2 linked regions of the Macaca mulatta genome follow. The protein of the gene in region 1 interacts with the protein of each later gene in a pairwise test. Links are inferred from orthologs where the notes say so. Each region holds a gene or a part of one and is shown in the gene's direction. Other genes may lie near its edges.

What was found.
Region 2: the proteins of TP53RK (region 1) and TPRKB interact in binary tests that used the Homo sapiens proteins (3 or more experiments, as listed by UniProt). The link is inferred for Macaca mulatta from reciprocal best matches to the Homo sapiens genes TP53RK and TPRKB.

The regions. Positions count from the first base shown.
Region 1 is NC_133415.1:99,488,343-99,499,172, reverse strand, and holds TP53RK (EKC/KEOPS complex subunit TP53RK), read left to right. Parts: upstream 1-4,966; 5' UTR 4,967-5,028; coding exon 5,029-5,311; intron 5,312-7,465; coding exon 7,466-7,944; 3' UTR 7,945-10,295; downstream 10,296-10,830.
Region 2 is NC_133418.1:51,077,875-51,087,357, forward strand, and holds the end of TPRKB (EKC/KEOPS complex subunit TPRKB), read left to right. Parts: intron 1-1,660; coding exon 1,661-1,783; intron 1,784-3,554; coding exon 3,555-3,731; intron 3,732-4,286; coding exon 4,287-4,335; coding exon of another isoform or gene 4,336-4,373; exon of another isoform or gene 4,374-4,440; intron 4,441-5,002; coding exon 5,003-5,100; downstream 5,101-9,483. UniProt on the Homo sapiens protein: Component of the EKC/KEOPS complex that is required for the formation of a threonylcarbamoyl group on adenosine at position 37 (t(6)A37) in tRNAs that read codons beginning with adenine.

The DNA.
Region 1 (10,830 bases):
ATTAATACAGTAACCACAACACACCTCCACTCAGTAGTGGTACAAGTCAGGGTTCTTGTTGCAAGCCACACAAGGATGGGGCAAAGGAGAGGCTTCTACAGTGGGAGGTGGTTTCTGTGTTTCCCAAGACACCACACAATGGGAAGCCCCTTCCCCGCCAAGGAGCAGTGGTTGGATCCTGGGGGTCCATTTTTAATTGTCATCATACTAAATACTCCATAATAATCATAGCTTCCATTTCGAAGAGCGTATCATGTTCCCAGCACAGTTCTATGTGTTTTACCTCGTTACCCATTTAATCGTAACATAAACCCTACAAGGTGAATATTATCTACAATCTTCTTTTACAGATGAGGAAACTAAAGCACAGAGAGGTTAAATAACTTACTCTTCCTCAAACATGTCAAGCACACTTCCTCTTTGGGGCCCCTCCTGTCTGGAAAGATCTTCCCCCAGGAATCCATTCACAGGGCTCAAATGTCACCTTTTCGTGGACACCCTCTCAACCACTTTATTTAAAATTAGGCCGGGCATGGTAGCTCACATATGTAATCCCAGAAGTTTGGGAGGGAGGCTAAGGCAAGAGGATCACTTCAGGCCAGGAGTTCGTAACCAGCCTGCACTACATAGGGAGACCCTGTCTCTACAAAAAATGATAACAATTGGCTGCAAGTGGTGGCACATTCCTGTGGTCCCAGCTACTCAGGAGGCTGAGGTAGGAGGATTGACTGCTTGAGCCCCAGGAGGTTGCACCACTGCACTGCAGCCTGGGCAACAGAGCAAGATCCTGTCTCAGTTAAAATAAAAATAAAAAAATAAAATAAAACTGGATCATTCCCTCCGACCCCACTCTACTACCCATAGGGTAACCATATATTGTATCATCCAAAATTGGATGCTTTTGAGAGTAAAGAGGGGACACTAGGCTGGGTGTGGTGGCTCATGCCTATAATCCCAGCATTTTGGGAGGCCGAGGCAGGCAGATCACCTGAGGTCAGGAGTTCAAGACCAGTCTATCCAACACGGTGAAACCCCATCTCTACTAAAAATACAAACAAATTAGCTGGGCATGGTGGCATACACCTGTAGTCCCAGCTACTCAGGAGGCTGAGGCCCGAGAATCACTTGAACCCGGGAGGTTGAGGTTGCAGTGAGCCAAGATCATGCTACTGCACTCCAGCCTGGAAAACAGAGTGAGATTCCATCTCAAAAAAAAAAAGGCAGGGGCACTAATGATAGTTATTCCAGGGTAACAGGTAAAAACTAGGGCTGTCCCTGGCAAGCCCAGATGCAGGTCATCTTTCCCATCCCCCTTCCCCGCTTGATTTATCTCCTGCTAGCCCCTGTCAACGACACATTTTCCTTATGTGTTTATTGTCAGTTTCTACCCACTAGAAAATAAACTCCATGGAGGCACTAATAATGATTCTCTATTTTCTTTACAGCTCTGTCCTCAGGGCCTAGCACAGTGCCTGGCCTATAGTAGTTACTCAATAAATATTTACTAAATGAATTAGTGAATAAATGAATGAATGGGCATCTGGTGCTGATGGGTGGGAAGTGAGGAAGAGGCCATAGATTCTCTTTCAGGCTCAGAAAGGGCTAAAAAGTAGAAGCCTCCCTCCCCTTTACTGCTTGGCTGTTCTACCCAGAGCTCAGCTGCATATTTGGCAGCCAGAGGTCAAGGCCTCAAAGGGCCATGCTTGGTGCAGTCACCCCAGGCTCACAGCACCTCTCTTCCAGCAAGAAAAATCCTCTGGGACCAGGCCACTGTCCTTGTTCTTTCAGCTCCCTGCCTGTCCCCAGTGCCAACTTGCTCCAGCCATGTGGAGCTGCTGGTTCTTGTCCAACCCAACTGTACCCTGTGTCTGTTCTCGCTGCCTGGAACCTGAGCACCCTCCCACTCCACCCTCTGACTGAGCTTTCCAGCACCTGAAAAACTCAGTGAAGATGAAGATATGAGAAAATGAGACATGAGTTTGACTGAAGCATAAATAGGCACAAAACTTTGGGAGGGTAGTTTGGCTGAGGTGTTGAGTTTCAAAGTGCTTGTCACCTACAACCCAGTGATATCACTTGGATAAGCCTGCTCCTGCAGCACTGTTTATGAGACAAAAAAAAAAAAAGAAACAAAACTGGAGGAGTAACGTTGTTAAAATGTCCTACAGATTCCATGTAATTCCTATCAACATTCCAATGACATTTCTTGTAGAAGTAAAAAATTCTAGAATTTATATAGAATCAGAATAGACTCCATATAGTCAAAGCCATCTTGAGCAAAAAGAACAAAGCTGGAGGCATCACATTACCTGACTTCAAAATATACTACAAAATTATAGGAATCAAAACAGCATGCCACCAGCATAAAAACAGGCACATAGACCAATGGAACAGAATACAGAGCCCAGAAATAAATCCACACACTTATAGTCAATTGATTTTCATCAAAAATGCCAAGAACACATAATGGAGAAAGGACAGTCTTTTCTATAAATGGTGTTGGGACAACTGGATATTCATGTGAAAGAAATTAGACCCTTATCTTATATCATATGCAAAAATCAACTCAAAATGGATTAGACTTTAGTCTAATGTAACAGCCAAAACCATAAAACTCTTATAAGAAAACAGGGACAAAATGCCATGGCATTGGTCTGAGCAATGATTTTTTGTGTATGACCCTCAAAACACAGGCAGCAAAAGTGAAAATAGACAAATGGAATTGCATCAAACTAAAATGCTTCTGACCAGTCAAGAAAAAAGAAAAAAGAGTGAAAAGACAAACTACTGAAAGGGAGAAAATGTTTGCAAACCATACATCTGATAAGGGGTTAATATCCAAATATATAAGGAATCCAATCCAATAGTAAGAAAGGACAAAACCTGAATTAAAAGTGGGCAAAAGATCAAAAGAAATATTTCCCAAAAGAAGACATAAAAATGGACGACGGGTATATTTTAAAAATGCTCAACATCACTAATCATCAGAGAAATGCAAATTAAACCCACAATGAGATATCACCTCTGACCTGTTAGAATGGCTATGATAAAACATAAGAAAGATAAAAAGTGTTGGCAAGGACGTGGAGAAAAGGGAACCCTTGCACCCTGTTAATAGGAATGTAAATTAGTACAGACATTATGGAAAACAGTATGGAGGTTCTTCAAAAAATTAAAAATAGAACTACCTTATGATCCAGCAACCCTACTACTGGGTACATATCCAAAGGAAACAAAATCAGTATATTGAAGAGATGTCTGCACTCCCATGTTAATTGCAGCATCATTCGCAATTCTCAGTCTAAGTGTCCATCAATAAATGAATGGATACAAATATGGTACATTTATATACATAATGGAATACTACTACTCAGCCTTTAAAAAGAATGGAATGCTGTCATTTACAGCAATATGGATGGAACTGGAGGACATTGTGTTAAATGAAATAAGCCAGGCACAGAAAGACAAATATCCCATGATCTCATTTGTATGAGGAAGGTAAGAAAAGTTGAACTCATGCAAGCAGAGTAGAATGGTGGTTACCAGGCGCTGGGGCAGGAGGAGGGAGATTGGGAGGATTTTGAGATGTTAGTCAAACGACACAAAATTTCAGTTAGGAGGAAACATTCATGAAATCTATTGCACAACATGGTGACTATAGATATAACAATGTGTTGTATTCTTGAAAAATGTGCTAAGATAATAGATTTTAAGTGTCCTCATCCCCAAAATGATGAGTATGTTAGGTAACATTAACTAGCTGGATTTAGCCACTCCACAATGTACACATATTTCAAAACATGTTGCTCATGATAAATACGTACAATTTTTAATTTCCCTTATGTACCTCTTCATCTGGCTGTTCATTTTTTATCTTTTATACTATCTTTTATAATAAACTGGCAATAGTAAGTAAAGTGTTTTTCTGAAAAACAACAAACTGGAAACAACTGCTTAGCAACAAGAAACTGCCTGACCAAGTAGAAGGATGTGGTAGTTCTGTATGTACTGATATGGAATATAGTCCGAGATAAATTGTTTAGGAAAATGAAATGCAAGTTGCAAAAGAACCCACAGTATGATGTCATTTATGTTGGAAAAAAGGCCACAATGATGTGTGAGTGTGCGCACTGAATAAAAGAAAGTTCTGGAAAGAAACTAACGGCCAGCGGTGTCACAAGGAGGATGGGCAGTTTATTTATATGTGTGTGTGCGCGCAAAGTTCCGTATTGTAAGAATTTGCTACAGCCTGTGTTATTAGCTTTGTAATGAAACAGGTAGAAACTGAAAAAGTTTAATTCCTCCCAATTCAGTTTAGGTTCTGTCTCCGGAAAACTTTCCTGGATTCCCCAGCCCCCACTCCCCGCCCCATCCCACCACCCCCACTGCCCTCTCTGAGTCTCAATTTTCTTTTCTGTAAGGATTTTCATCATTTAATCTTATTTCTTCTGAATGCACTAAATGGTAGTTATCCTAGCACTTAAGAGGATGTCGGAAACACGGTTCATTGTCTGACCCTTCCGACACTGACTAGTATGAGTACATTCTGGGGGGAATTTAGGAGTCAGGGGAAGAGGTGTTCCAAAAAGACACTACTAGAGGGTGCACCTGTCCAGGAGGAGACTCCTTAAGTGAGCAAAGAGCGTCCGACGTTTTTCTCGAGAGGAGCCGAAGTTTTCCGGAAAGAGACGACCAACTGGGAGGTGATCTCCCAAAACCGGTTGCGGGAATCACCGAAGATTTCCGGAGAGCCAAGGAGTAGGGAAGAGCCACTTACCGAGAGTTGCCGAACGTGTACGGAGATAGCCGAAGAGGTGAAAGGCGGGGCCACAGGAACCCTTCCTGCAGGGAACCCAAGGCTTCAGAGAGCCGAAAGGTTGGGAGGCGTAACCACTCACAGGCCGGAAGTGTCCGGGGCGGAAGCGTTCGGGTAACCGAAGAAGTACCAGGATTTCCGAAGCGAGCCGAAGCATCGCGACAGTTTTCAGAGAGAGCGGGTCGGTCGGAGCTGTACCGCCGAGCACAGTCATGGCGGCGGCCAGACCTGCTGCCCCGGACGATGGCGAGGAGCCCGCGCCAGAGGCTGAGGCTCTGGCCGCGGCCCGGGAGCGAAGCAGCCGCTTCTTGAGAGGCCTGGAGCTGGTGAAGCAGGGCGCCGAGGCGCGCGTGTTCCGCGGCCGCTTCCAGGGCCGCGCGGCTGTGATAAAGCACCGCTTCCCCAAGGGCTACCGGCACCCGGCGCTGGAGGCGCGGCTTGGCCGGCGGCGGACGGTGCAGGAAGCGCGGGCTCTCCTCCGCTGCCGCCGCGCGGGTAAGGAGGGCCCGGATCCTGGCGTGGGCGGCCCCGAGGCTCTGGGGCCTGGGCGGGTGAGGGACTCTCCTGCGCTCCGAGCCTCGGTTTGCCTCAGTTTCTCCTTCTGTGCCTTCTGCCGTGGCCAGCCTTTCGGAAATGTTATTCTTTCATCCCTTTCTTCATTCGTTAAGTCTTAAGAAACCACGTGGCCTTGCAGCGTCAAGCGTTTGTCCTGGGGCCGTTCTGCCAGGTTCAAATCTGGACGCTGTCATTATTGGTCAACGTCGAACATCTTTAACTTCCCTGAGCCTTGATTTCCCCATTTGACTCGTTTCAATTTTCGATCATTATCTTTTCATTTATTAGTTTTAAGAAACATGTAATTACAAGTACTTGCCCCACTGGAGCCAGGCTGTCTGGGTTGAAATACTAACTCTGCTGCTTATGTAGCCTTTCAACAAGTTATTTAGCCTCTCACCTTCGGTTTTTTCACCTGTAAAATGGGAGACATAGTAGCAATATCCATGTCATAGGGATGTTGTGACCATTAGAGGAGGTCTGTGTGCAGTGTATTATGTTCGAATGTGTGCCTGGCACATAGTGCTCAGTAAGTGTTGGATTTCATTAAATTGCCTATTTATTGTGCGCCAGCGCCATAAACCTTGTCCTCAGTTGAGAAAGTGACACTCAGAGAGAAGTAACTTGCCCAAGGTTACACGGCTACTAAGTGGCCGGTCCAGGCCCTCAGCTCCGTATGCCTCTGACTCAGAAGTACTGGCTTTTTAATTTTACGCTTCGTGCCTTTCTTTTATTAGTATTTTTTAGGTACTTGTGGGTGCCAGGACATTGTTAAGTGCTGGGAGATCTAGCAAGGGGGGACATTCAGTAGCCAACAAGCAGACACATTGCTGCCCTTTCAGAGACTGAAGATTTCACGAACTTATTTGTGTGTTCATATTTCTGTTTTCAGCCTCTTATGATATGTTTCGTTAAGCAGAGATTGTATTATAGCTGGCTTGTTTATTGCTGTATCCCCATTGATACATCTCTCAGTTTCTAGAAAAGTATACTGAGCCTGGTTGACTTTCAGTAAAAATTCATTTGAGTTTATTGTAGCAGAAACTGAGACTTAGAGAAGTTAATGTAATTTTTTTTTTTTTTTTTGAGACGGAGTCTCGCTCTGTCCCCCAGGCTGTAGTGCAGTGGCCAATCTCGGCTCACTGCAAGCTCCACCTCCAGGGTTCACGCCATTCTCCTGCCTCAGCCTCCAGAATAGCTGGAACTATAGGCGCCTGCCACCACGCCTGGCTAATATTTTGTATTTTTGGTAGAGACGGGGTTTCACCATGTTAGCCAGCATGGTCTCGATCTCCTGACCTCGTGATCCACCTGCCTTGGCCGAGAAGTTAATGTAATTTTAAGATTAGATTAGACAACTAATAAGAAAAGGAGCTGGGATTTGAACCCTGTCCTCTCTGACTGTGAAGATGAACCTCGAAGCCAGCACACTGCTTGGCCTCCTGTTTGTGTCCTCATCAGTAGAAACTGCTCTGACTGGGCTGTGCCTTGCTGTTTGTTTTTGTATTTTGAGACAGTGTCTCACTTTGTCACCCAGGCTGGAGTGCTGCAGTGGCGCAATCTCGGCTTACTGCAACCTCTACCCCCTGAGTTTGAGCTATTCTCCTGCCTCAGCCTCCCGAGTAGCTGGGACTACGGGTGCATACCACCACGCTCTGCTAATTTTTGTATTTTTAGTAGAGATGGGGTTTCACCCTGTTGGCCAGGCTGGTCTCGAACTTCTGACCTCTAGTGATCCGCCTGCCTCGGCCTCCCAAAGTGCTGGGATTACAGGCATGAGCCACCACACCCGGCCTTTGTTTTGTTTGTTTTTTAGAGAGTGAGTGTGACAAATGAAGTTCAGTGAGAAAGGGTGGTTTGGAAGGGAGGAGGAAGCTATGGCCTCCTCAGTTTAGCTGTGGGGTGGTCCCAGGTATAGTCCTGCAGGGGGCAGGAGCAGGGGAATATTCCATTCAGTTGTACCATTCCCTGTAGCATTCCTAAATCATCCTGAAATAAGTAGATATAGATGGAAAAACTGGCTTAATCTTTGAAAATTAAGTTTATCCATTAAAAAAAAATCCAACCCAATAACCACTTATGTCTTGATTTCAGGAATATCTGCCCCAGTTGTCTTTTTTGTGGACTATGCTTCCAACTGCTTATATATGGAAGAAATTGAAGGCTCAGTGACTGTTCGAGATTATATTCAGTCTACTATGGAGACTGAAAAAACTCCCCAAAGTCTCTCCAACTTAGCCAAGACAATTGGGCAGGTTTTGGCTCGAATGCACGATGAAGACCTCATTCATGGTGATCTCACCACCTCCAACATGCTCCTGAAACCCCCCCTGGAACAGCTGAACATTGTCCTCATAGACTTTGGGCTGAGCTTCATTTCGGCACTTCCAGAGGATAAGGGAGTAGACCTCTATGTCCTGGAGAAGGCCTTCCTCAGTACCCATCCCAACACTGAAACTGTATTTGAAGCCTTTTTGAAGAGCTACTCCACCTCCTCCAAAAAGGCCAGGCCAGTGCTAAAAAAATTAGATGAAGTGCGCCTGAGAGGAAGAAAGAGGACCATGGTTGGGTAGGAAAATGTGTATGACAGCCACACACAGTGAAGCTCTTTTTTCAAAGTAAATTTGAAGAAATACTAAAAGTATGAGATGAGATCTAAGTAAAGGTGTTAAGATATTTTTAAGTGGTGTGTGATCGTGCCTGTGGTGTCATTATCATCTGCACTTCACTCTACTCAAGAGCTTACTATGTGTCTGAGTCATGTTCTAGGCAGAACTGGGTATTTAAATCTAGGACAGGCTTCTCCCAGATTGTGACATGTATGTCTCAGTTATATGGGTGTGGCATTGAACTACATAATGAGAATGTTACTCTCTTTTTAGTCCTTGTGAGACAAGGATGAAGTCTCAGTGATACTCACTGAGCTTACTGGCCCTCTAACCCAGTGTTTTTTTTGTTGTGTACATGATATATTTATTTTGAAACCAGTTTAATGGGATACAACCAGCATTTTTAAAAATGAAATAGAATTGCAGCATAGAAAATATCAATATTGTTTTATGAAACTTTCACATGTATATGTAGACAAGGATATGTACTGAGTTTTGATGTCAAATATATTTCTCTTTCAGGGTCATGATCAAAAAATGAAAAATCTGCTTAACTCCAATTTCTCTTTTAAAAAAGCAGACTTACAGCTTTCAGGCAACTGAAATTCATGTTAACATTGTTTTTATTTTTATTGTTTTGTATTTTTGTGGTTACCTTCTAAGACAAGTGATTGATATAAAGTTCCTTTTAAGTTTATACAGGTAAGCAAACTGAGTTGATTTCTGTCACAGGCAATGAGTAGGTAGAGCAAAAATGATGAAGTGACTTGTGAAGACTGAAGTTTGATGAAGTCTGGTTTAAGGTACAGATAAGCTGAGTGTGGATGCAAAGGTACCAGGAGCTAGCTTTTAACCTTGCCCAGCCTCAATTTCTTTTCTTAGAAGAAGCTGTGTGTGGGTGGGAAGGGAACGGATGTATAATAAAATACCTTTCTTCCTTGTAAACTCCAATCAACAAACATATTTTGAGTACCTTTTATGTTCCTTGGCACCCTGTTGGGTGTTGGGTACAATGGTGAGCCAGACAGACATAGCGCCTGTTCTTTTGTAAGAAAATTTATTTTTATAAAAAATTATTAAGTAGTGTGATGTTTTGATACACATTATGAAATGATGACTACAGCCGAGCTAATTAACACCCATCACCTCACATAGTTACTTTCTTGTTTCTTAATATAGACATTTACAGCTATGAATTTCTCTCTGCACACTTTTCATCACACACTCTCAGTTTTGGTATTTTGTGTTTTTGTTTTCATTAATCTCGAAGTATTTTCTAATTTCCCTTGTGATTTCTTTTTTGACCACTTGATTGTTTAGAAATCTGTTAATTTCCACACATTTGTGAATGTTCCAGTTTTTCTTTTGTTACTCATTCCTAGCTTCATTCCGTTGTGTTGAGAGATGATACAGTCAGTGCCTGTTCTTATGAAGCAAACATTCTGTAATAGTAGGACCAGTACCCTGTTTGTTTCGTTCATCACAGTCAGCACTCCCCCAGTGTCCAGCATGGGGTGGATGGCCAGGAATGGTGAAAACTCCCTTCCTGGGTAGTTGTGACTCGTAGAGAGGAAAAACAGTATCATTGCCTGTTTACTGCATGTCAGGCATTGGGCTGGGAATTTTTATATTGGATCTAAAATAACTCTTAAGTTAAGCGTTGTCCCCATTTTATAGATGGAGAAACTGGCACCAAAAGGTGGGAACTTGTCCTAGACGTCACAGGTAGCCAAAGGTACTTTTACTTGGCTCCAAATCTGTTCTTTCCACTGACAAAAGAGATATGGGATATGGTGCGTCTTCACAGTACTATAAGAAGTATTGGCATATAACATTATTTTCAAGGAACTCCAAGGACCACAGGAGCTGACAAGTTTTTCAATTAATATTCCCAACATGAATGAGATGCCTCATTCCTCAGTTTCCTCACATGTACTATAAGGCTAGTACCTACTTTGTGGGGTATGGTTGGCTTATGTGCATTAAATCAACAAAGCCCTAGTTGATATGGTTTGACTGTGTCCCCACCCAAATCTTATCTTGAATTGTTCCTGTAACCCCCACGTGACACGGGAGAGACCTAGTGGGAGGTAATTTAATCCTGGGGGCGGCTACCTCCATGCAGTTCTTGTGATAGTGAGTGAGTTCTCATGAGATCTGATGGTTTTATAAGGGGCTTTTCCCTCTTTTTGGCACTTCCTGCTGCCATGTGAAGAATGATGTGTTTGTTTCCCCATCCGCCATGATTGTAAGTTTCCCGAGGCATCCCCAGCCATGCTCAACTGTGAGTAATTAAACTTCTCCTTTATAAATTACCCGGTCTCGGGTATGTCTTTATTAGCAGCGTGAGTAATACACTAGTACTCACTATGTGCCAGGCACTAGAGATCTAATAGAGGGGAACATGAAGTTTACTTTCCTGGGGAACGTAAAATAAGGCAGTTTCAGACAGTGATGAGTGAAGAGGTGAAGGAAAACCAGAAACACGGGAGATGAAGGGAGTATATCCCAGGCAGGCTGTGGCGTGCGAAGTTGGTGAGGAAGGAACATCCCCGACAGCAAGGCCAGTGTGGCTGGCATCAGTGAGCAAGGAGGAGGAGCAGAACATGCGATGGGAGAGGCAGGGCCAGATCCTGCAGGGCCCTGTTACAAGGTTGGGTTTTGTTCTTAATGGGACTCAGGATTTTTAACAGGGTGACACCTGATTGTTTTGAAAGAGTTGCATTGGTTGCTGGCAGAAAACCATAGACGGCAAGAGTGGAAGCAAGAAACCTGGAAGTGAGAAGGCGACCAAAACCAGCTGGGCCAGTGAAAACAGTAGCCAGGGTGGAAGCCGTGGCGAGCATGCTC
Region 2 (9,483 bases), on another chromosome or scaffold:
CTGAGGCAGGATAATCGCTTGAGCCTGGGAGGCAGAGGTTGCAGTGAGCCGAGATCACGCCACTGCACTCCAGCCTGGGCAACAGAGCAAGACTGTGTCTCAAAACAAAACAAAACAAACAAACAAAAAAACAATGAATGAACCATACAGGCCATTTAAGTATACGTTAATATTTGTGATGTTATAGGGTAGCCTAAAATTCTGTCACTGTTAGGGAAAAAATTCTTGTCCAAGTCAGATGCAGCCAACCTGGACTATAACAGTGAATAGAGGCAGAAGTGCCAGGTCCTGCCCTAGGAAGGAGGAAAGGTTGTGGTCTGGGTCTAACATGGGAAATGCCTGGATCTCCAGCTTCTTATCTTTAAAATGGGGGTTCTTAACAAGACAGTCTGTAGAGGAGGCATAGCGTAGTGGTTAAGAGCACACACAGAGGCCAAGGGGTGTGGATTGCTTGAGGCCAGGAGTTTGAGACCAGTGTGGCCTACATAGTGAAACCCTGTCTCTACTAAAAATACAAAAAGTAGCTGGGCATGGTGGTGTGTGCTGGTAGTCCCAGCTACTCGGGAGGCTGAGGCACAAGAATCACTTGAACCTGGGAGGCGGAGGTTGCAGTGAGCTGAGATTGAGCCACTGCATTCCAGCCTGGGCGATGGAGCGAGACTCTGTCTCAAAAAAAAAAAAAAAAAAAAAAAAAAAAAAAAAAAAAAAAAAGCACAGGCAGTGGGATCATGTTACTGGGAATTAATCCCAGACCTACTACTTAGGACTTTGAACAAGACATAGCCAACCTTTATATAGTGCTTACTGTATTCCTAGTATTGTTCCAAGTGCTTTACGTATACTAACTCGCTTAATCTTCACAACAGCCTATGTAGTAAATACTGTTTCATGTGTCTCTAACAAATAAAATGCTAAGGAACTTGCCTAAGTTCCCTAGGTGATAGGTGGCAGAGATGGGATTCAAACTCAGACATTCTTTGCCTCAATTTCCTCATCAATTACATACTACTACTACTATTAATAGTATTAGTTTCATAGGGTAGTTTTGAGGATTAAAGAAAATAACACAAGTAAAATGTTTGGAATATGATCATGCCCATAATATTAGCCCTCAATTAATGTTATTTTAAAAAATTTTACTATTTGCATAAGTCCTTGCAGCTTTAAAATTCTATGATTTTCTGACTACCCAGGCCCTTGGGATAATAGTTTTTGTTTTTGTTTTTGTTTTTGTTTTGAGACAGAGTTTCACTCTTGTTGCCCAGGCTGGAGTGCAATGGTGCAATCTCGGCTCACTGCAGCCTCCACCTCCTGGGTTCAAGCAATTCTCCTGTCTCAGCCTCCCGAGTAGCTGGGATTACAGGTGCGTGATACCACACCTAATTTTTGTATTTTTAGTAGAGATACAGTTTCGCCGTGTTGGCCAGGCTGGTCTTGAACTCCTGACCTCAGGTGACCCGCCCGCCTTGGCCTCCCAAAGTGCTGGGATTACAGGCATGAGCCACCACGCCTAGCTGGGATAATAGTTTTGAAAATACAGACCATAAGAATTGTGATGAAGTAAACCAGCTTGACAGTGGAGTTAACCATGAGTTACCATGTGTTTTCAAGCACTGCAGATTCTCTATGTGTAATTAATTCTTTCTGCTCTCTTTGGTAGATTGTCGATCCATTTCAGATACTTGTGGCAGCAAACAAAGCAGTTCACCTCTACAAACTGGGAAAAATGAAGACAAGAACTCTATCTACTGAAATTATTTTCAACCTTTCCCCAAATAACAATGTAATGTAGACTTTCCTATTTCTGTTGACCTTGTCATAATAACATATGTGTTCCTCAGGGTTGGAGGCTAAATTCCTGCAAGCCAGTGGTTAGTAATAAACCAAAATAGTAGTGAAGAGAGCTCTGGACAGAGAGTTGAGGTTTACCCTGCCTCTTACTAAGACAGTTTACATATGAGTAAACACAAATTTAGCTAAATTAAGTGAGGTTAATTTTATCTGTTCTTACCATATAGGATCAGGAAGACCTCTCAAGTATTTTTTGCTTAAGAAACTGACAGAAATCTAAATGATAAAACATTAGGCATGGATATTTTGTGTGCTAGCGTGCATATCTTTCCCTCTTCCCGTAAACTCCTTGAGGGTGGGATCCATGTCTTTTTCATATACCAGGAACTTGCTGGTACCTATAACAGTCCTTAACACATCCTCACTCACACACCCAGTATGTAGGAAGAGTCTGTGGTTTGAAATACTTATAGTAACGCTTTTTCCTTTTTTTTTTTTTTTTTTTTTTTGAGACGGAGTCTTGCTCTGTCGCCCAGGCTGGAGTACAGTGGCACAACCTCGGCTCACTGCAAGCTCCGCTTTCCAGGTTCATGCCATTCTCCCACCTCAGCCTCCGGAGTAGCTGGAACTACAGGCGCCCGCCACCACGCCCGGCTAATTTCTTTTTTTTGTATTTTTAGTAGAGACGGGGTTTCACCGTGTTAGCCAGGATGGTCTCCATCTCCTGACATCGTGATCCGCCCGTCTCGGCCTCCCAAAGTGCTGGGATTACAGGCTTGAGCCACCGCGCCCGGCCAGTAATGCTTTTTCAATGAAAGTTATCAAGCCAAAGACATCACACATGTAGCACATGAAAAAAATGACTGCAATTTTGCTGATGAATTTTTAGTATTACTGCTGCTATTAATAACAACCAGGTACTAATTTCATCTAGAGAAAAGTTACGAAACCTGTGGCATAGGTTAAAATACAGATGATTGTAAAGTTTATAAAATGCAGTTATCTCAGCATGGTAATAGAGTTTCCCAGTACTTGGAATAAAATTTACTAATTATTGTTTCCTTGAGATCATTAGACATAATTCAGAAAACTCTTGAATTCAGTAAACGTCTGTTGAAATTTTCCCTGTTCCATTTGCAGTTCTAGGGGCAGAAGAGGCAAATATGTTCCCGAGGAGAGGCAGATAAACAAGTTAAAATGCCCTGAGATAAATGATATAATGGAAAAATGAATTCAAATCTAGGGGTACAGCAATGAAGCCATTCATTTTGGAGGGAGGAGGGTGTGGTGGGGAGTGGCATCAGAAATGTGGACCTTGAAGCATGTGTTCAGCAGCCAAGCCATGGGGAGAAGGGACATGCGAGCAGAGGACAAAGCTTGAGCACAGGCAGAAGGGCATGAAATGTGACTGGACCCCCAGGCAGGCCAGACTGGCCAGGTGGCAGAAGCGCCTGGCTGGAGAGCCACTTGGCACCAGAGGGAGGAGGTGTTTTTTTGTGCAGCACCAAGAGGCTGGGCTTGATTCCATAGGAACAAGGCATAACTTGAAGCAGGGAGTACTTTCGAGGAAGTGCCAATGGATGTTGGAAAGGAATCATCAAAGTGAAAAACTAAGCAGTGAGAACTTTTAGGACATGAAAAATAAGAGCCTGACCAAGGAAGAAGGCAGATCAGGAAATGTTTCAGACATAGGAAACAATGGTTAATTATCTTGTTTTGTTTATGTTTTTGTTTTTGTTTTTTTTTCATTTTTTTTCTCTTAGATTTCAGAGGCTTTGAAAAAATTTGGTATCTCAGCAAATGACACTTCAATTCTAATTGTTTACATTGAAGAGGGAGAAAAACAAATAAATCAAGAATACCTAATATCTCAAGTGGAAGGTCATCAGGTTTCTCTGAAAAGTCTTCCTGAGATAACAAATATTACGGAAGTCCAAAAGGTTTGTTTGCCAGTCCATATTTTTAGAAAGAGTGTGACAGATGAGCAATAATGCTGATACTGTTTGCTTATTGATCACCAGGGCTCCTTGTTTTTTGAACTTTTGAGAAAGTTAATCTAATTTTTTAAATTACTAAAAAATAATTTTAGATACAAAGAACTGGGAGGTGTGGGTTTATGTAAAATATAATTACAAACTCAGCTGATACAACCATTCTCCACATTAAGAAAGAGAATACCTTTCAATATCAAACTTACATAGTATATTTAAAATGTAAAATAAATTTAGTATGAAGTTAATATCTAGATATGTGCTTTTAAATGGATAGAAATTTGGTTTTTATGTTCTTGAGAGTTACCCCCATAGCAGCAATTTAAAGGGAATACAAGTAATGAATTGCCATCTACTTGGAATATTTTAATCACATTTGTTGTTTGTTATACTATGAACCCAATAATTGAATGAGGAATAATTTCACTTACACATGTTTGTATAATGACAATTAGTAGTGAATGATGATATCAGCAAGTCATAATTTGTCTTTCATTTTTACAGATATATAAACTCTCTTCACAAGAAGAAAGTATTGGGACATTATTGGATGGTATCATTTGTAGAATGTCAACAAAAGATGTTTTGTGAAATATCAGAAATATTAACAAAACTCAGCATTAAAGAAAACATTGATTTTTCTTCCCTGATTATAAAACTAATATATGTGCATTATCGAAAAGTTTAAATCACAGAATGGTATAAAAAAGAAAAAAAAAAAGGCCAGGCACGGTGGCTCATGCCTGAAATCCTAGCAATTTGGGAGGTTGAGGCAGGCGGATCCCCTGAGGTCAGGAGTTCAAGACCAGCCTGGCCAACTTGGTGAAAACCCATCTGTACTAAAATTTAAAAATTAGCCAGGCATGGTGGCAGGTGCCTGTAATCCCAGCTATTCGGGAGGCTGAGAGAGGAGAATCACTTGAACCCGGGAGGCAGAGGTTGCAGTGAGCTGAGATCGCTCCATTGCACTCCAGCCTGGGCAGCTGAGCGAGACTCCGTCTCAAAAAAAAAAAAAAAAAAAAAGGAAACCAGTTGTAGTCCTACCTTATAGTATTTTAAAAGACAACCAGTTACTATTTCTTGTTATTGCTTTTTAGAGTTCTGTTTCTATTCAAATATATTTTATTTTTATATAATTGGAATAAAAATTGTAAACACTTAGGGAATGCCTACAGTGTACTAGGTTCTTGCCTTAGTGATTATTATTATTTTTTTTTTAGAGATGTCGTCTCACAGTGTTGCCCAGATTTATCTCCAACTCCTGGACTCAAGTGATGCTTCTGCTGTGCCTCCCAAAGCACTGGAATTACAGGCATGAGCCACCGAGCCCAGCTGGTTGTTTTTGTTTTTAAATTTTTTGCCTTGGCGATTTTATATCCATCAGTTCACCTCCCTCTCCATACTTACCATGGCTACTCCAGCTCACCCCTTGCAAGCCTCTGGATCCTGGTTCTAAGTGCCTTTCACTTGTATGAACTCATTTAATTCTTGCAGCAACCTTATGAGGCAGATACTGTTATTACCCCCATTTTACACACAAGGCCCAGGGGCAGCTCCTGTGCAGAGGCCTGGCTGGTGGCTCCAGCTGAGGGTGGTCACTCAGAGGGACACCTTGGCAGAGCTCCCACCCTTCCTGGCAGAGGCCCAAGTGGAAGTGGGGGTGTTCCTCGTGGGAAGAAGAAAGGTTGTGCCAGGGGGACTCTGAGGGTGCACATGGAGCCTGGGCAAGGTGGGGGAAGCCAGGGCCACAGCAGGACTGGTGCCCCTGCTCCCTAAGAACCCCCAACAACCCTAACCTTGCAGTGCCACTGTGAACCTGCCATTGCCCCTTGGCCTCTAGAGGGCAAAGAGCCGTGTGTGGGAGGGGGAGGCAGAACGCAACCCCAAGAAGTCAGCCCCCAGCTGGTGAGGCCAGTCCGTGGCCCCAGCCTGGAGCCTGCCCCAGCACTTTTCTGAGCACCCTCACCTCATCCCCGACCCCATCAGGTTCTTGGGAGGCCTCTGTCTTTCTCCTCCACATTCACATTCACCTTGTCCAACACCTGGCCCCCTGGCAGGATCCTCATCTCCCAGTCTCCCTTCTTCGGAGGTGCACTGGGCAAGCGGAGCCAGGCCTCTTGGGGTCCCCGGAGTGGAAGGAGGTACAGAATGGGATGGGGAAAGTATAACTGCCACACACACACACCCAGGAATGTCAGCAATGAAAAGAATGAATTCCTCTTTCCAGGAAGTATGGAGTCCCAGGAAGACTCTTAAGTTCTGCTACTGATGGATGTAGAGTGTGAAAGGCCTAGGCATGGGTTCCTTCCCAGCTGCCTGACCCCCAAAGCTCATCCTGTGGTGGTAGGGAAATAGAATTACAAACAATCTATCCCAGCAAGCCTATCTCTGCAGAGATAGAAGAGGAAGAAAACACTTTCATCATTGAAGAGGCGTGAACTCAGAGTGAGATGCGCATCACAGGCAATGACCCGCTAAGATGCTGCAAAGACAGAAAGAAATCTCATTGCCAGTCTAGCCAGCGGGTCCAACCCATTGCTCACTGCACACCTTCTCAAGAAGAGTAATGCCTAGTCCTCAGATCAGTGGACTGCACAGCACCTTTGGCCACACCCGTTTCATCGGAGATTCAACCTCAATTTACCTGACCACCTGCGTTTGCTAATTACCTTGTTACAAAGGAAAATAAACTCTTGCCTTCATGACAGGAGGTAGATTTACCACTCACAGCAGATGTTAGGCCCCCACCGTCCCACAGAGACTGGCCGATAGGGCCCTGGCTGCTCTGATGATGATGTTTCAAAGACGGACTCTCAGGTCCTTCAGGAACACAGTCCTGGGTTGCAAAGCTGGCAAGAGGCTTATTTAGTTGTCAGAAAGCTTTGCATGCCCCCAAAGGGGCAGAGGAAGATTTACAGTAAGTTTTCCAAAGAAAATGCTCTAAGGGAGAGTGGACACTGCTTCCCTTTTTTTTTTTTTTTTTTTTTTTTGAGACGGAGTCTCGCTCTGTCCCCCAGGCTGGAGTGCAGTGGCCGGATCTCAGCTCACTGCAAGCTCCGCCTCCCGGGTTTACGCCATTCTCCCGCCTCAGCCTCCCGAGTAGCTGGGACTACAAGCGCCCGCCACCTCGCCCGGCTAGTTTTTTGTATTTTTTAGTAGAGACGGGGTTTCACCGTGTTAGCCAGGGTGGTCTCGATCTCCTGACCCCGAGATCTGCCCGTCTCGGCCTCCCAAAGTGCTAGGATTACAGGCTTGAGCCACCGCGCCCGGCTGCTTCCCTTTTTTTTAACAGGGAGAATTAAGCCTCTTCATTGTCTTTACTCTTTTTTTTTTTTTTTTTTTTTTTTTCAGTTGCCCTAACAGTTTCCGAGAGCGGTGTTCCGTGATTCCTCAGTCTCAACACCAGTTCCTCTGAGACTAGCACAGGGTCTTTGGTGTGAAAATTTCTGTTTTTCCTTACTGCTTAAAATAAAATAAAACAGCCACTCAGCTTGCTTAGTATTTTGCATAAATCTGCAGTTCCCTTCAAGAAAAATGTAGCTCTGAGGAAGTAAGGTGAGATGTGGTTAAGGCAGCTCCCCAGGCTGGGCTGCTGGTTGGCCCCCGCCCCTCATATAGGCTTCCCTGGTCACCTCTCACTGTCACAAAGTAAGACCTGAATATGAAGCTTTCACCTGCAGCCCAAATCCACGCGGGTTTGCGCTTCGGGCATTGTCTGCAGCAAGTGCTCAGCTCCAGGCCAGCTTCCAGAAGCTCCAGGACTCATCCCTTTATTCAGGAATTGAAAATGAACTGGAACTGAGGACTTTTAAACTGGAGGACATTTCAGAAATGATCAAATTTAACAGTTCCCAAGCTTTTGGAATCACAGAGACCTTTGAAGATCTGATGTAGAAAGTGAGCCCACAGATTTGCACACCATTGTGAGTTTAAGGAGCCTCTGAGTTGCCCAGGAAGTAGCCCTTCACACTTAGTTGAGGAGGCTGCAGCTGCGCCCTGTCTCCTGAGGCAGAGGTTTGGGCTTTTAGTGGGAGAAATAGCACCCACGTCACAGGAGGCAACAGAAGCTCACTGGCTACACTAAGTCTGATTAAGAAACCTCTGGTGAGCGTTTTTGAGAGGCTGCACTTTAGAGGCTTTGCTTCAGGTTTTCTGTGTGGCTGATCAGTTCTGTGTTCAAGGCTGGCTGCCAGGAGTGGACTTGAATTGCTGGGCCTACACATCAGTGCTGCAGAGAGGCAGACGAACTGCAACAATAGTCTCTTCCCTCTGTCCCACTGAGGACAGTCTCAGTGACAGGAGCCTCTGTCCCTGACCCCAAACCGTCCTGTCCTCCACTGTGTGGGCTTCTGAAAAGAACAGAAAGGGCCAAGGCCGAACCTGCACGTGCACCTAGGGAAAGGAATCTCAGCAGAAGCCGGGTGGCCCACAGCTCCCTTATCCCATGAGCCATGGGGTTTAGGGTTCAGGAAAATCCAGCCAACTCCCCTGCACTGTGCTGTGAGGCTGCCCTAAGGCCTGCAATCCTGAGACCCCAACCAATGGAACAGGCTCCCTCTTAGTCAAGGGGACCCCAGGGAAAACTGAAAAAATGAATTCCTGGCCATGATGGAAGTGGAGGTGAGAGAAGCCTCATGAGAGCCCTGCACCTTTGGAGTATAAAATAGGCATCGTGAGATTATTCAGAATGGATTCTGACAATCAGGTACAGATTATGAACAAGACCTGAGGCCATGCAAAGCAAGAATTAACACACACCCTAGAAACCACAGAGTCTCCTTCAGTGGGTTTTAAATTGACCCAGGATGCTGTGGTTGACTTTCCTTCCTGGCTCTGGGACAGCATCACATGGCAGAGGCAGACGGTCTCTCTGAACTGAAGCATTCCTTTGTACCAACTTCATGTCTTTAGACAAAGCTGAACTCTCAACCAAATGCCAATCGGAAAATCTTTGAATCCACCTATGACCTATAATGCCCTGACTTCAAGATATCCCACCTTGTTAGGCTGAGTCAATGTATACCTTCCATGGATGGATTTATGATGTTACTCCAATTCCTGTCCCCTCAAATGTAGAAAACGACTGCCCTGGCACACGTTTTCAGGACCTCTTGAGATTCCCCAGACTGTGGTCACTCATTGGCTCAGAAGATACCTCTTACAGATCATTTTTTAAGAGTTTGGTGTTTTTGTTAACAAGCCCAACCACAGGCCTTGGCAAACCCTTTGCTCAGCTTGGGAATTCCCAGACCAGCTACAGGCCACCGTCTTCCCCTCCCAACCAGCACACTCTTCGTCTCCATCCACCATCAGCTCCACCTGTGCTCACCTGGATGGGCCTCTGCCGGCTGCCGATCCGCACCCATTTCCCACCCCCTCCTGACTGCAGGGCGCCCCTCTGTGGGCAGTGCTCATTGTTACTCAGCCCCTCAGTCCTTAAGCTCCCTGGGGTTCTCCATCTCTATGGGGTGCTGGTATCCTTGAGCCAGGACTCCTTTAGTATAACCTGGCTCCTTCTGTGAAATGTACAGTCCCCAGAAAGTGTGACTGAGTCCCCATGTAAACCTCGTCTGTCACCTGGAATGCGGGGCATAGCCCTCACCTTTCTGCTGGTGGTGAGCAAGGAAGCAGACAGCTTCAACTGGGCTGGCAAACACCCGATGTCCTATGCGGTGCCAGTCTTGGGAGGAAGCTGATGCCG